2 linked regions of the Arabidopsis thaliana genome follow. The protein of the gene in region 2 interacts with the protein of the main gene of each other region in a pairwise test. Each region holds a gene or a part of one and is shown on either strand. Other genes may lie near its edges.

Region 1 (9,785 bases), on a different chromosome or scaffold from region 2:
TTGGTACCTCTTAGTTAAATTCGGTTCGGTCCGGTACCAAATAAATTTGGCCGAGGCCTAAAACTAGTTTGTGTTTATTTCGAGACACCAGACTTGATCAAGACATCAGACATACCCCTCTAGCTCATTGGTTTGTTAAACCATCAAGCGTCTGCTTAGGGAATAATAAGGACGCTTTAGCTCTTTTGAGTTTTGAGAAAATCACAGCTGTGATCTTTTCTTTTGCATGGGACCAGAATCCAGATCATCGTGTCTTACCATAAGATTTGATCCATTGCGAGATATTACATGTAACGAACGAACATGCATATGTTTATTATTATAAGCATATATATATATGAAAAGAGCATTGATCTTGTAGGTACGCCAAACTCGATACGTTTCTATCTAAGGGTCTATAATTCTATTTATATCATCGTAATCTTGATACTATAATATGTGTTTGAATGCTAGTTTATTTGTAGTTAATGTAACAAACAAAAAAAACGATTAATGGTGAGTGTGACTCGTGCTCTCGTTTCTTCAGTCTTCGCCATGTGATTAGGTGTGTGTTAGAAAATATGTCGTTAATTATAACAAATATACCCCCTCGTCCGAAAATACTCAAATCTCCTAAACAATATCCCATGATTATTGATTGGTCGTATCAACTATCAAGTAGTGTTAGGTCAAACTCTATTTGTCTAGAAAATAAATATATGGATCAGACATGATTGGGTTGGACATATAATTGAAGTGTCTTATGCGGGCGGAATAATAATAATATGATCTTGGACGGGAAATGATATACAGTACTCAAGTGCTTAATCCATGATCCTTTGAATTTGAGCAAGTTTATCTACATCACAGGTCTGGTAGATAAAGATGTGAATGATATTCTTACGACTATATATTTTGGTTACCAAGCAATAATCATTGTTACAATAACACATATATATTGTGGAGAGAAACAAAACTATAATTTGTTATTACCAATTCATTCGGATGCCATACTTCTTCAGTCGGCTACGATGTAAGTTTGATTTTATCGAAAATGTTGAGATCAATGATCACGGGTCAAGACGGCTTGCAGGGAGCTCGAAGACAAGTTGAACGTTGCCTTCGGAGATAGTGAAGCCGATCAAAAACCGTTTTTCAATAGTTACAATATCATTGAACTGATCTCCACATTCTCACTTTTCTATGTTTCCTGGTTTGTAAGATTTTTGAACGATCATTTTAATTTGCTTCCATTGTATATTTAAAGACCAAAGTCTTGATGGATGATGAAGTAGACTTGAAAATTGATGAAACCCGTTATTGTGTTGTTGTGTTACAAATCCCATCTATGATCGTTGATCTCATAGATGATCATTGATCATTTTTCTCATTTTTCTATGATGAAGTAGACTTTTTCCGGAAGGCTTATGAGAAAAAAATACTATTCTTGTTTTGTAAACATATGTGTTCAATAAAGAATCTATTTTCATTTGCAATCATTCGGATTAATTAAAGTGATTGCTGGATGAATGTTTTGAATCTCTTTTTACCATTTCGCTACAAAAATAAAAAAATTGCGAATTTCGCATCCAGATATATACTAGTATTAAGCATGGGAGATTATTCACTCCTCGAACACATCCTATGACTATGAGTTACACAAATCAAAATTTTTACATTCCAACGTTGATGATCCTTTGGATTTGGTATTTTTCCATGTCATACTATTGTAACTTTGTTTGTAATTTCTTTCTGGTCAATATTACTCTATTGTGGATGCAAGATCGCATAACTAGTCCTCCATCGAATCAAACATGATCACAATTTTAAGAATCAAACTGGACTTTTATATACCGAAATAAAGTTACAAAGATTTCGCTGAGATGTTCTTACTTCTTAGAGCTAGATGAGTAAGTAATATTAGGGATTTTCTAGTGTACAATTGATGCCTCTATACATTACTCTCCATCAGATTTATAGGACTTGACCTCGTCTGCTTCTCTGATATTTCCCAGAAATCTCGCTCCTTTTAGTTTCTGCTTGAATCTATCAAATCCTAGTGATTTTGCGACCACCTACTTCTTTATTCTTTCCTTTTTGTTGGTTATGTCCAAACTGATTTAAGAGTATCCACATTGGTTATTTTTATGAGTGTTTTTAGATGGCTATTTTTAAATATAAAAGAGTAAAACAAATAAAAAATATGAGGGTCATTAAAATGAAAATTATATCTTCCTAAAACATTTAAGACATCTATACCTTTAATATTATTTTATATGAAATACATCTATGAAAAATTATTCGATGAGGATGGTCTAATGAGTCGGAGAGTCTCAGACCAACATCTATCTATAACTATTTTTTTTTTCACTGGAAATATAGATTTCATTGATAGAAGATCTGAGTACAAGAGCTGACAAGAGAAACACTCTTCTAAAAGCCGGAGAGTACATGGGACCTTCCAGGAACTAAAAACATATTTAAATGAAACAAAGGGGAAAAAAACCGATCTAACAAATTACATCACATCTGATCAAGTACTTCCCAGACCCAAAATCCAAGAGTTCAAACGAAATATACAAAGTCTAAAACAACAATGATAAACTGATAGATCTGAGACTAGAAGCCTCACTTAACTCAACCTAAACACGAATGGGCGATGAGATAAAACCATCATCCAGAGACCCAAAGGAGTGAGAGCCTCATGAAGGAGAGAACGAGATCGGGATCTTCAGGTGGAATTTCAGAAGTCTGAGGCGAAAATTTGGATAGAAACGCTTCTGCCTTGGATGGATCGGCCAGATCTGACTCTGTTCTTGAAAAAGACAAAAGACAAACAGCAAAAACCTAAAAAGAAAAAGTTTTAGACTTTAAATATCTAGATCTGAAAATTCAGATTCACAACCGTTGGAAAAAAATCTCTCAGATGTGTCTAAAGAAAAAAGATAGAATAAGAGCAAAACAAAAGACTTCGGTTCCGGTGCTGAGAAAGCCACCGGAACCGGTAACCCTAAACGCAGGCGGCGGCTGAAGTTTTAGAGATAAGGGAGAGTAAAATTTTAAGAGTGAGAAAATGACGAGATGTGAGCTTGTAAATACTTTTTGTAATATAAGTAACTATAAGTAATATTTTTTTTGTAATACCTCAAATTTTATTTTTAATGATATTTACAAGTTTAACAAAACAAAAACAAAAAACAAAATATTATTCTAGTCATAGCAAGTGAGAATTTTTGAAAAGGGAATAAATGTGTGTAATTAATTCAACGGTCCAACAGTGGCTTGGACCTAACACTAATGACATTTGTTCTTCTTGTAATTTTTATGTGGCTGTCTTCTTGTACCAAGTACGTAGACAATAGTTTGATTCTATTTGGAATCAAAACTCAAATTACATTTACAAGAAAAACGATCACAGATACAGTAATTCGTAGTATTCGCCAAAGTTCCTTTTGCAACTTTCAAAAAGTGCAAAAACAAGACCACTTTTTCGTAATAAGATAGTAGCAAAAAAGCACGACTATTCCATAAAACTGTCCACGTCCCTCCAGAAAACTCCCCCCACATGCGATTTGCCACGTGTCCCCACTCAACTACACACAAAGCCATTTTAAATCAAATTATTAATCAAACTTAAAAAACGTAATCGTGTGCTGATGATGATGATGACACTGTCACTGCCTCAAAAACCTCTATAAATTAGTCCTCTTCACCGAATCCTTGTAAATCATTACTGTACTTTTCTCTCTTAACGGTTTCTTTATTATTCTTCCCATTCTACCCCTCTTCTTCCTTCTAATTCCCCCTCAAATGCCACTGTCTTCTCACTAAACTCCAAAACCCACCGGAAAAAATGATTACGTGGCACGACTTGTACACCGTCCTCACCGCCGTGGTACCACTTTACGTAGCTATGATTCTCGCCTACGGATCCGTACAGTGGTGGAAGATATTCTCACCAGACCAGTGCTCCGGCATCAACCGCTTCGTCGCTATCTTCGCCGTCCCTCTCCTCTCCTTCCACTTCATCTCCACCAACGATCCTTACGCCATGAATTTCCGCTTCGTCGCCGCCGACACGCTTCAAAAAATCATCATGCTCGTCTTACTTGCTCTATGGGCTAACCTAACCAAGAACGGTAGCTTGGAGTGGATGATCACAATCTTCTCTCTCAGCACTCTCCCAAACACTCTTGTCATGGGGATCCCTCTGTTGATCGCCATGTACGGAACCTACGCAGGTTCTCTAATGGTCCAAGTCGTTGTTCTTCAGTGTATCATTTGGTACACTCTCCTTCTCTTCCTCTTCGAGTACCGTGGCGCTAAGCTTCTTATTATGGAGCAGTTCCCGGAGACTGGTGCGTCTATTGTTTCGTTTAAAGTTGAATCCGACGTCGTTTCTCTCGACGGTCATGATTTTCTTGAGACGGATGCTGAGATAGGAAACGACGGGAAGCTTCATGTTACCGTGAGGAAATCAAACGCATCGAGACGGTCACTGATGATGACTCCACGGCCTTCGAATCTTACCGGAGCTGAGATCTATAGTCTTAGTTCGACTCCGAGAGGTTCTAACTTTAACCATTCTGATTTTTACTCTGTTATGGGGTTTCCCGGCGGGAGGCTTTCGAATTTTGGTCCGGCGGATTTGTACTCCGTTCAATCTTCTCGTGGTCCGACTCCACGGCCTTCGAACTTCGAAGAGAACAACGCCGTTAAATATGGATTTTACAATAACACTAACAGTTCTGTTCCGGCGGCCGGTTCGTACCCGGCTCCGAACCCGGAGTTTTCAACCGGTACGGGTGTTTCAACTAAACCGAATAAAATTCCTAAAGAAAACCAACAGCAACTGCAAGAGAAAGATAGCAAAGCGAGCCATGACGCTAAGGAGCTTCACATGTTTGTTTGGAGCTCAAGCGCTTCTCCGGTCTCCGACGTGTTTGGCGGAGGTGCAGGCGACAACGTGGCAACGGAACAATCTGAACAAGGTGCTAAGGAGATTCGGATGGTTGTCTCTGATCAACCTCGAAAGAGTAATGCTAGAGGTTCTTTTTTTTTTTTTTTTTTGTCATCAAATATTATTTAGCTAAAATTGCGGAAAATTGTTTACATAAATAATATGCTAGAGGTTTGTTGGTTTAATTTTATTATTATTCGAATACTATTATTTTTGTATGTATTCATGATTTTTGGTTTTCTCAGGTGGTGGTGATGATATCGGCGGTCTTGATAGTGGAGAGGGAGAAAGAGAGATAGAGAAAGCTACAGCAGGGCTGAATAAAATGGGGTCTAATTCCACGGCGGAGCTAGAGGCGGCTGGTGGAGATGGCGGCGGCAACAACGGAACACATATGCCGCCGACAAGTGTGATGACACGACTGATATTGATAATGGTGTGGAGAAAGCTGATCAGAAACCCAAACACGTACTCCAGTCTAATCGGTCTCATATGGGCTCTTGTTGCTTACCGGTCAGTGAGTCCAATCATTTTCTTACTTACAGATTTTATGGATAAATGTTATAATAAGAAAAGGAAATAATATAATCATCTATGCATGGAATAATTGTAGTGGGAACTAATAATGAGTATGGGTTGTTTTTGGAAGCAGGTGGCATGTGGCTATGCCCAAAATATTACAACAATCCATCTCCATACTCTCAGATGCTGGTCTTGGAATGGCTATGTTCAGCTTAGGTAAACACTAACCTTGCTTCATGCAAATCTAGACTTGTTTTGATGATGATCTAATCTTTAAAGTTGGGTTCAAATTTGTTCTCATCTTATCTGTTAAAAAAGATTCATTTAATGCAAAGTGGGTCTGTGTGTTTAATTAGTCGTAGTTGTCCAGCTTGTAATTGGTAAAAGTCATATAAACTGTACAAAGCACTTACCCAAAGAGAGAATCCTGACCCTCTGACCCAGACATGTTGGTGTGTCCGGTCCCCACGCCGAGTCCCCACTGGCTCTGTCTACTTATTTGGGTCTCACCAAGTAGATGACCTAACTCTTTGCTGTCAATTTTCTCAAATCCTTTTAGTTAATGAATTGCTTATTTTTGGTGTAATTTTAAGGTTTATTCATGGCACTTCAACCCAAAATCATTGCTTGTGGGAACTCTGTCGCCACGTTTGCCATGGCGGTCAGATTTATAACCGGTCCGGCCATCATGGCTGTTGCTGGGATTGCCATTGGCTTACACGGCGACCTTCTCCGTATAGCCATCGTTCAGGTATACAAATTTATAACGTTACATGATATAGCTAGGTCTATTATAAATATTACATGATCACGATGATGATGTTGATGAATGCATGAATTATTAGGCTGCGTTGCCTCAAGGAATAGTTCCGTTTGTGTTTGCAAAAGAGTACAATGTGCATCCCACGATTCTAAGCACTGGGTAAGTTCCAAACTTATTTTATGTTACAGCCACATTTTTATTTTTGTTACAAACTTACAATATATTAACAAATGTGTGAATGATGGTGAAAAATATGGATGCAGGGTCATATTTGGAATGTTAATAGCCTTACCTATAACTCTGGTCTACTATATTCTTCTTGGCCTTTGAATTGGTCCCTTCAGTATCAACTGGCTTTTGAGAGAGCCTCGGAGATTGGGCTATTTATTTCTCGGTAACGAGGAAATAAGCAAAGCCTTTATTTTTCGTGGGAAAGAGTGGAAGGTGAAGAAGAAGATATGCCTTTGGTTTTTGGTTCCAATATTTGTGGAACACAACAAAAGTACTTAGGATTTAGTGAACAAGACTTGAATGGATTAAGGATCTTGTCTTCATTAGACGCCAAGAAGAAAAAATCTCTCTTCCTTACCTTTATTTTTTCATTTTCTGTTTTTGTTAATTTATGTGTAGATTTTGGCTAAGCAGATATGTAATATGCACCTTTTTTTATTAATTGAAGTTTCTAGTTAAGTGGTTTATACTGAAACTAGCTTATGAGTTGGATTGAAATAGTCCTATACTATATATATACACCCTCGTACTGATTTATTTTTTCCACAAATACCATTAATATTAATTCATCGGGAAGAGATTCTCCGCTAGAGAGAGCCATTCATGAACCATTATGCTTACATAGGAGAAAATATTATTTCTACCCCGAGCTTTTTTAGCTAAACAATCAGTTCGAGTGTTAAAACTACGAGAAAAAAATCTAATACGGAAAGAAAGGAAAAAACAAACTAAGGAGCGATAGGATGCCAATTCCGCTGCGAATGTCGGTCAATCGTCTTGATTGTCAATGATAGAAATCAGGTCTGAACAGTCAGAAGCAAAAGTTTCAAAAGACAGTAATTTTATTTTATTACAGTTAATTTAAGCATATTCCTTGATAACAAACACTGTTTTACGACAGAAGCAAAATCCTAATCTCTAATTAATTAATCCTATGATCATACGATGCATGTTTACGGTCCCGTTTTTTTAAGAATACACGATCTCTAGCAGAAAAAAATCTCAAAAAGTTTATGTTAACTTCAAATTCTGTGAACTTCCGCACATGAATCTAAAGACCACCCTTTATAGAAAAAATGGTCCCGAGACTATCAAACGTAGTCTTTATAATGTCAAAGTAGTGTGAATCTCATTTTTCAAACATTTTTAATGTTATGAATTGATCATCTGATTTTCGTATTAGGATTGGTCATTCAAATACGGTATGATTACTCATCCAACAAGTAGTAATTTAACGAGGCATCAATATACTATATAGAAAACAAAGCAAATATTCCGAAACTAACATCAAAACTAATGGGAGAGTGGATGTGAAGAAAATTCAATGGAATGCAAAATCTAAGATGGACCAACATGCAGGCTTCGCCCGAAAGCGACGACGCATTTCACTTGACGACAAAAGTTGCCATATTATATCTTTTGCAAGTAAAACTTGTTGTGTTACTCGTTTACACACATGCCCCGATATTCTTATTCTTATCTATATGCCCATAGAAGTTGTGAGTTCTTTTATTTTGGGAAATTCTAAAGGATTCGTTTTGAACTATACATTTTTAAACCTATAGAGTTCAAACTTTTATGGAAAAAGAAAAACTTCCCACGTGTGTTTCGAACATCAAAATTCGAGCATCAAAGTATTATAACAACATGGACCACATTTTCGATTATATCAACATGTATATCTTCGTGGAACTAATCAACAGTCAAAATGTTGAGTTTATCATATTTTCGTGGAACTAATCAACAGTCAAAATATTGTGTTTATCATATTCCCACATAGTATCGATAATATCACCAAAAAGTTTTTTTCATTCCTTCAAAACTGAACAACTTCGATCATGCATTCACTTTGAAAGTAGCAGCTGGCTATTCCTTTAACTGATTTAATTGTGACTATAAATCGTTAACTCTTAGTTACTGTTTCGATAAATTTACTAATCAAATCAAGAATATTTTACCCATAGACGTCACGTTTCACTCAGAATTACTTAGACCATTCTCAATGACTAACTCTATTTTAGAGGAAATATAGTTGATTTTGCTCCATTGTAATTCTCTAAAATAGAGAAAAATATATCTACATTTTTCCTCTATTTTAGAGGCATACAATACAGCAAAATCAACTATATTTTCTCTAAAATAAAATCAACTCAAAAATAGAGGAAAAAATAGAGTTGAGCATTGGAGATGCTCTTAGTGTTTAGAGCTAGTGCCATCGACGAATCTGAACTTTCTGAACTTTCATATTTTCAAAAATTCATATTTGAGGTTAGAGTGGATACTAATAGGAATCATAACTATCAACAAATTTCCATACTTCCGGGGTTGTATGTCTACTTTGTTGTAGTATCTAATAATATGACTCTTTAATCTGTGAGATGAAATGCTTTGAATTAATGGATTGAAACAAAATCAAAAAGCACAATCGATAAAGATATAAATCGAATAAAACAATAAAGATGAATTAATGGGGGTATTGAGAGAGAAAGGTGATGGGCAATGTATGAGGAACCACGAACACTGGTCTAGTCGTAGGGTCGTTCTCCTTACATTTAGATGCAAAGGTCCAAATTGCATAACATGCATAAGATTCACATCTCACGTACGTATCTATCATTTCCAATTTAATGTCTTATGGATAACAAATCCATGCGTGTGTATACAAACTACAAAACACCAAGTACTAAAGCCTTATATGTCTCGTGTGGTGGCCATAACATCGTCTAGTATATAGAACTTTTGTTTGTTTTAATTTATCATTCTAATGCACATACGTATAATGTTAACTGATGAACTTATGTCGTTCAAGTTAGATGAGTTTGATTTGTAAATAAGGGAAAAAAGAAGCAAACTTAGGTGCATACGTTTTTATTGTTTAGTAGAATATTTGTAGCCTTAGAATATTACTTTCCTTGAGATTAGATTAGACTAGTCTCACATTTTTGAGGTATAAAATGCTTAATCTTAGTATTTACTTTTTACTGGGTTTGTTACCGGGTCATCACTCATCAGCTTATGGGGTGAATAGATTGACTATATTCAATCTTCTGCATAATAATGTATCTCGCTCATAGGTTCATTGCAAGATTTAGTCGTTTCTAGAACACATTATCAGAATAAGCTTATTTGATTGGTCGCGATGAGGACCGGTCCAAAAAATTATTGGTTTTTTAAAAACAAATACAAAAAATGTTAAAAGGTGAAAAAATAACCATTGTATTATATGATTTTTTCAAAATTTCGTGCTTAGCTTCTTAAAACTTAAATATATTTGCTGCCTAAAGCACTTGATGGGCTTCGCCTCTAGGTCATGACCGGGCTTGGTCGCGG
Region 2 (7,024 bases):
ATATTTTTGGGGGGAATATTTTATTCAAATTAATGTAAAAATCTGCAGGTTATGTTACTGATGGGACAATTCTCAAGCGGTGCTAGGATAATTTTTTTACTGGCTTCGAAAGGAGACACGTCAGCTGGTAGAAAGAAGCTCGCTCTTACCCTCACGCGCGTACAAGAAATCACAGAAACGTGGCTTAGGGAGTGGGTTGTAACTTCACATACCCGTAGCGTCACTCTCTCAATTCCTTCGTTTATGGTGTTAGTTACTTAATATTTTTATGGAATATGGTTATTGAGCTAATTCACCCATTTTTTTATCTCTTTTAATATTCGTATTCTTTTTGTAACGTTCCAAATTTTTAATATTATCCTGTCTGTTATCAAGCCCATAAAATAAGCCCATGGCCTTCCACAAACCCATACTACAAATCATTACGGTTCCCAAAGCAGAAGAATCAAAAGATTCACAAAGGAAAAAAAAAAAATAACCGACACGTGTCAGTCACTCCTTGACAACTGGATAATTCTTAGTGGCCCTGTAAATCTAAAAATTTCGCTGTCTTCGTCACTCTCCCTAACTTCCTTTTTCTGGTTCTCTCTTTCTTCTTTCTATTTTATTCAAAAGCCAATTCCCAATTTCCCACCAAAGCATCACTTTGGCGCAATCCGAAGATTCTCGCCGCCGCCGTCGTCATGTCGCCGTCCGACGAATCGACGAACGGTTCTCGTTGCTCATCATGCATCTCCAGCGACAACGATGGCAACGATTTCGGTAAATCGGATGAGTTTACATGCAAACAATGCAAAAACTCCGATTCGAAATCGAAATCAAAATCGGTGAATGATTCGGATAAGCTTCGAAGAATCATCGTCGCTTCCGTCAAAGGATTCACTATAGGTACTGGTTTAAAAGGTGGTTTAGCTATTTTCTCAATCGTCGCTCGTTTCGCTCGTCGTCGTAGATCTTCTCCTCAATCTAGGTAACCGAAATCGATTTTTCAAATTTTCCGGTTTAGCTCATCTGATCTGAAATCTAATCGTAGTCGGTTTAGGAAAACCGGAGAGTTTTCGAATAGTGAAGCTATCGCTATGGGGATTAAGGAGACGTTAAGATATGGATTGTTCTTAGGAACTTTTGCTGGGACTTTTGTTTCTGTAGATGAAGCTATTGCTGCTTTAGCAGGAGACAAGAGGCATGTTTGTCCCCACTAATCTTGTAACTTTTATTTTGTGATTTAAACCCAAAAATAGTGAAGTATCAATTTCTTCAGATTTGATCACTGTGAAGTAATTTAATCTGAATCCAGAACTGCAAAATGGAGGGCCCTGTTTGCTGGATTGGTGGCTGGACCATCTATGCTTCTCACAGGGCCAAATACGCAACATACGAGTTTGGCTGTTTATATATTGATGCGTGCTGCGGTTCTCGCATCGCGTTGCGGTATTAAAAGTAAACGCTTTGGTACCATTTGCAAGCCACTTACTTGGAAACATGGAGATTTATTCCTCATGTGTCTCTCTTCCTCACAGATTTTGTATGCTTTCTCTTTCTCTCTACAAAGATATTAAATTTTGTGGTTCAGCTAGTTGTTACTAGGTTCTTGGTTGTTATTAGATTCTTAGATTAGCGATTTTGTGTTTTTTTTTCAGGTCTGCTTACATTTTGAAACAAGAAAGCCTTCCTTCATCGTACAAGTCTTTCCTTAACAAACAAGGTGGGAAGGATCTTTCAATCTTACAAGGCGTAAAAGATATCGCAACCGCGCAACCGTTCACTAATTTAAGAGCGATTGAGAAATATTACAAGTCTGTTGGAGTTGATATCAAACTGGATCCTACCATGAAAGTCCCCTGTACGGTAAGTTTTCTATGATACTATCTTTTTTGGGTTGTTAAGACGAACAAAGCATTTGTCGATAGTTGATGTATCGTCAATGAGTCTGCATGCATGGTTTTACGCAATACTTATGTTGTTACTTGCAGATAATACATGGAAATGAGTCATGTGTTAAGCATGGTGTTACATTTTTCCTTCAAGCTTACAAGAGGGCGTTACCTGTCTATGTCCCTGTGTATTTGATTCCAGCGCTAATAGTCCATCGTCAAGACCTGCTAAAAAAGTAATAGGTTTATGTCTAAACTGCTCATTGAATGGTATATATCCTCTGATTTTATTCATCACCTCATAATATGTTTCATCACAGGCAATACTCTATACTTGGCAAGGGTCTTCTGGGCACAGCGAGATCAAGTTTGTTTCTCGCTACTTACTGCTCTTCTGCCTGGTTAGAATCAATTCTTGGAAGGCTCTTATCGATTTTTGTTTTGTTCTCACTTGAAGTTGGAACTTAGACCATCTCTATAATGATGTAAAATAGGGCTTGGACTTGTCTACTATTCCGCACTTTTGAGACATGCAACATACCGCTTGTGGCCATAGCAACAGTACAAACGAAAGCCATTCTCATCACATATCATTGTTAATATAATACCTAACGTTAGGCTTCTCCTGCAGTTCCCAACAGGTCTGGCTTTAGCTATTGAGAAGAAAAGCAGAAGGATAGAGATATCACTATACTGCTTAGCGAGGGCGATAGAGAGCTTCTTTACTTGCATGACAGAGGCAGGATACATTCGACCGCCCAAGAGTTTAAGAAGAGCGGATGTGGTTGTGTTCAGCGTTTCGACAGCCATTATAATGCATTGTTACGCACAAGAAAGAGACGTATTTCGATCAAAATACTTGAACGTACTAGATTGGGTCTTCGGTGTTCCTCCTCCCCCTCCTGCTCCTTCTTGCGAAACAACCTAGAGACATTCACTTTTAACCTAAAGATCTTTCTGATGTGGGACAGAATTTGGTGGTAGAATGCTCATTTAGAGTCTCTAGGAGTTTTGTTTTGGGTCAATTTTGTATACCACAATCCATTTGACAATTTTTGTCCATCTTATGTGGACACACCAATATGTAATCTGGTAGTCTTACATGTTCTACAAAGTTAAAATAAAACGAAGCTAAATATTTTGTTAATCAACAACACTAAACCATAAAAAAGATGGACCAAGTAAATACAATATGGCTTCAATAATTTGATACGAACATCCACCACCTATACACTGCATATCCATAGACCGTGCCGTATAAAACCATCCTCATAGGGTACACTCTAAACCTGCATTACTTGGTCCAAAGATGTATCCATTATCCATTAATTAGGCCAGTAAACCAAACCAAAATTTGGATCTAACAATTAAAATCAATAGAAAATATTCACGAAAATAAACAAATTCAATCATAACTTGTACACCTAATTCGTAGATATACAATAATACATACATTGCAAATGGAACCTAACATTGTATGTATGGTTTGAGATTCGCTCTTTTGAATCCAAATTAATATCGGTTGACAAAAAAAAAATTGTATGTATGATTTATGTTTATCCAATAGGTTTTAAGGCAATAAAGCTAAACCAAAATTTAGATCTAATAATTCAAAGATTAATATATAATGATATGATAAAACAACTAGTTTGATATTGAGATAAGATAAACAAGTAACCTTGAAGGATGAGATTTGCGGGCGAGAGCGGCTGATCTTTCCTCGGCGGTGACAGGATAGCCCCACCGAGAGAAACTCCGATCAAAGAAGTCCCAATCCGGCAAAAGTATGCCGCCAATAAGAGAAATACCGACGGCGTAAGTAACAACCGTCTTCTTTAAAGACTGTGTCCATAACCATACAACTACCATCACCACTGCAAGACCTACCATTGATGATCTTAGTGCTGCTTCGTTTCCCATTATGGCTAAGAGAGAGTAGATAGCTTATATTTAAAACGGGATTAGTTGAAGTTGCTTTATAACAGTGTAAACATGGAAAGAAGATTCACAGATTATGTAGGATGTAGGAGAAAGATTTCATTTATGTGTTAAAGATAATATTTAATGGATTTTTTTATATAGGGTATATTCTTTTGGAAAAATGCGTGGCAATCAATTGAATTGAATGCCGCCATAAATGTGGTAATGTCCCAACCGTATTTTTGGATCCAAGTTTTTGTGTTTGTTCAGTTTTATCTTTATTTATGGTTTTGATCATAGAGTAATTAGAATTATACCGAAAAATTAGGAAAAAAAAGATAAATTTTGGAATGACAAGAAGGAATTCACAAACTTTTCTTTATTTTTAATTTTTTGTAGTGTAAATGTAAAAACGGATAATTTGGTATGAAAGAATTATACCGAATTGCATCATACCATATATATAAACAATATCTCTCGGATTAACTCTTTGAATTCTAATTAATATCGGTTGCCAAAAAAAATTTGTAGAATAAAATGACATAATCATCAAGCGGGACAGAAATTATTTTTAACTTTCACAAGCATAAGATTATATGAGTACGTTGTACTTTAAACATAAGACAACAAAAAAATCTTATCATATTTTTGAGGTAAAAAAAATTATAAAATTGACCAAACAATGTGTTATACATATGAAATTTACTATTTATTATTTATTTGTTATCTCATTTAATATTATGTTATAATTTTAAATTGATAAACTTAAATTTTGAATCCTCAATATTTAATTAACTTTACCAATCAAACTCTACATCTACAACCAACACATGTAATCATACAACAAAAAGTTTATAGCTACTGCCGAACAACAGTAAAAAGGAAAGTTACTACTCAACCAAACACCCACATAATTGGTTACTAACATAAATTTTGTTTTGATAGTTGGCATCGTTAGTAATAACCTCAAACTTTTCTTTTCTTTTCGCCAAAAAGTAATAACCTCAAACTACGAATGTCGTTTTGTAAATGAAGATTTCTAATTTTTTCCTATAAATGTGAAAACAAAGTAAATACTCTTTTTCATTGATAGTATATTAGTATCTAAAGCATTAATCTTACAAAGGTTGTTAGATCTATATAAATTCAGAAACAATTTTTTAAAATCCGAAGCCACAAAACTACGCATTGACAAAGGACAAGTTTAAGTCCCTTGGTAGAAACAAATGACGTCGACTATTTCTATTGTTAAATAGCGACGAGATTAAGCCCTCATATATATGCGGCTAAATAGCAACACCATGTTTCTTTTACACATGTTTTTCTATGAACTTGCTACAAAAGTTCATGAGAAAGTGTGGTCACATCTTAATAATATCTATTCCTCGGTAACTATTTTAGTCTATATCTACTAACCAATATTTGAATATTTTCTCAGTAACAAAGTAAAATATAATACTGATTCCCCCAATGGTACTGTGATGCCACATTGCTAAACACTCAATTAAGTTTGGTTTTGATACCCCTTATAACATCATGATCGCCAATGTTTATTTACCATCAATTACAGTTTTGACCTACAAATCTCATCCTCGTTATTCGACCAGTGCACTTCTACATGTAAGGTTGATAGACTTGTTTACTAGTCTTGTTGATCATCACAAGATATTTTTATGTGTTTTGTGAATTCTTGCACAATACTAAAAATCACAATCTTTATATTGCTTCGCGTGTGGGATCAAACCTAACGATAAGATCAAGAAATTTGTTCCAAACCTCTCGTAAAGACACAAACAAGACACAATGAGAACTCTGGAAGCTCTACACTAGCTAGGAATCTGAGTTTGTAAGAACAACAGATCATCATATTTTTTGAAAATCATTTAAGTCGACTAGACCTGGGTAATAATATCACTTAATCCCTTCTCAATTATTTTGGATGCATCTTCAACATTTTGTTTTTGATAAATTCGAATCATATATGCAGAAAAAACAATTTAAATACAAATGATAAGATGATTTAGCTCTTAAAAATGACCAAAGAAACAAACAAAGATGAGAAGAAGAAATTTTGATTCTCATTATATCTTTTTAATTAAAAAATAAAATTTTATTTAGTAATGCATAATGTTTTACAAAAATATATTGGGTGGCTTTTAATTTTTGAGGAATACTGAGGAACTATCACCTAATTAATTTTGTATAAATAATTTATCAAGTAATTAAAAAACATTATTCTACGGAACCATTGAATATTTGAAATTTAGTATCTTTTATTTATTATTACTATATTTCCATTAAAATTTATTTTTTATTATACTCTAGATTTAAAGCTATATGTGTTATACATTAGCTCGTTATAAACATCGATGGTTGTGAATTTAAAATACTAAGCCAACACCTGCACAAGGTATGAGTATATTCATATAATTTGTTAGTTATAACAAATAACATCGATTGAATTAATTTGGTAAAACATATTTTGTATTTTATCGAATTATCATTTTAATGTATTTCTCTAACTCTCAAGTAAATAATTCATTCTATTTTTTAATGTTTTTAATTACATTAATAAACCTTATTTACAATTACTTACCTTTAAAACAATTGTTGTCTTTAAAGTATTTTTAAAATAAACGAAATTAAACTAGTGTCAATTTAGTATCTTATATAAATAAACCATAAATTCAACTAATATTTATTGTCACTAATCCTATATATATTATACTATATAAAACCATGAAATAAATTCTTATATCATATTATTTATGCATAAGTTTATACGACTTATACAACTAAATTTAAATAATTTAATTTATATACAAGTTTGATATACTTTGTACTTAATTAAAATAAATTTATTCAATTAATAAGTTAAAACATGTCAATTTGTATGCAAGAAAGAATTAATGCATGATTTTTAATTCTTAAATTAATTAATAAATATAATTAAGGGTATATGCACTAGATGACTATGAAATTCATAATATTATAGAAACTAACCATGGGCGTATAGTACCTGTCGGAAACCAACTTTAAATTACTCTCATATCCCTATAATAGAGTTTTGGTTGAAGGGACAAATAGCTTTATAGGCAAATAGTTTTACCACTAAAGCTTCCATAACCTCCTCATCCCTTACAACAATAACCACCACTAGATCCGTAACACCACCGCCTCCTCCGTATTTAGTATTACTAGATCTGTAAATACTACCGCCTCCGTATTCA

The links.
Region 1: the proteins of AT1G34640 (region 2) and PIN4 interact in a protein complementation assay, tested with the Arabidopsis thaliana proteins (one large-scale study listed by BioGRID).

What each region holds. Positions count from the first base shown.
Region 1 is NC_003071.7:177,247-187,031, reverse strand, and holds PIN4 (Auxin efflux carrier family protein), read left to right. Parts: upstream 1-3,267; 5' UTR 3,268-3,832; coding exon 3,833-5,027; intron 5,028-5,184; coding exon 5,185-5,452; intron 5,453-5,591; coding exon 5,592-5,677; coding exon of another isoform or gene 5,678-5,688; exon of another isoform or gene 5,689-6,054; coding exon 6,055-6,212; intron 6,213-6,306; coding exon 6,307-6,383; intron 6,384-6,487; coding exon 6,488-6,554; 3' UTR 6,555-6,999; downstream 7,000-9,785. UniProt on the Arabidopsis thaliana protein: Acts as a component of the auxin efflux carrier. Plays a role in generating a sink for auxin into columella cells. Maintains the endogenous auxin gradient, which is essential for correct root patterning.
Region 2 is NC_003070.9:12,684,634-12,691,657, forward strand, and holds AT1G34640 (peptidase), read right to left. Parts: upstream 3,911-7,024; 5' UTR 3,795-3,910; coding exon 3,553-3,794; intron 3,164-3,552; coding exon 3,073-3,163; 3' UTR 2,919-3,072; downstream 1-2,918. Other genes in the region: AT1G34630 (uncharacterized protein), read left to right, coding at 684-970, 1,043-1,183, 1,298-1,525, 1,641-1,848, 1,974-2,110, 2,195-2,275, 2,369-2,435, 2,506-2,802.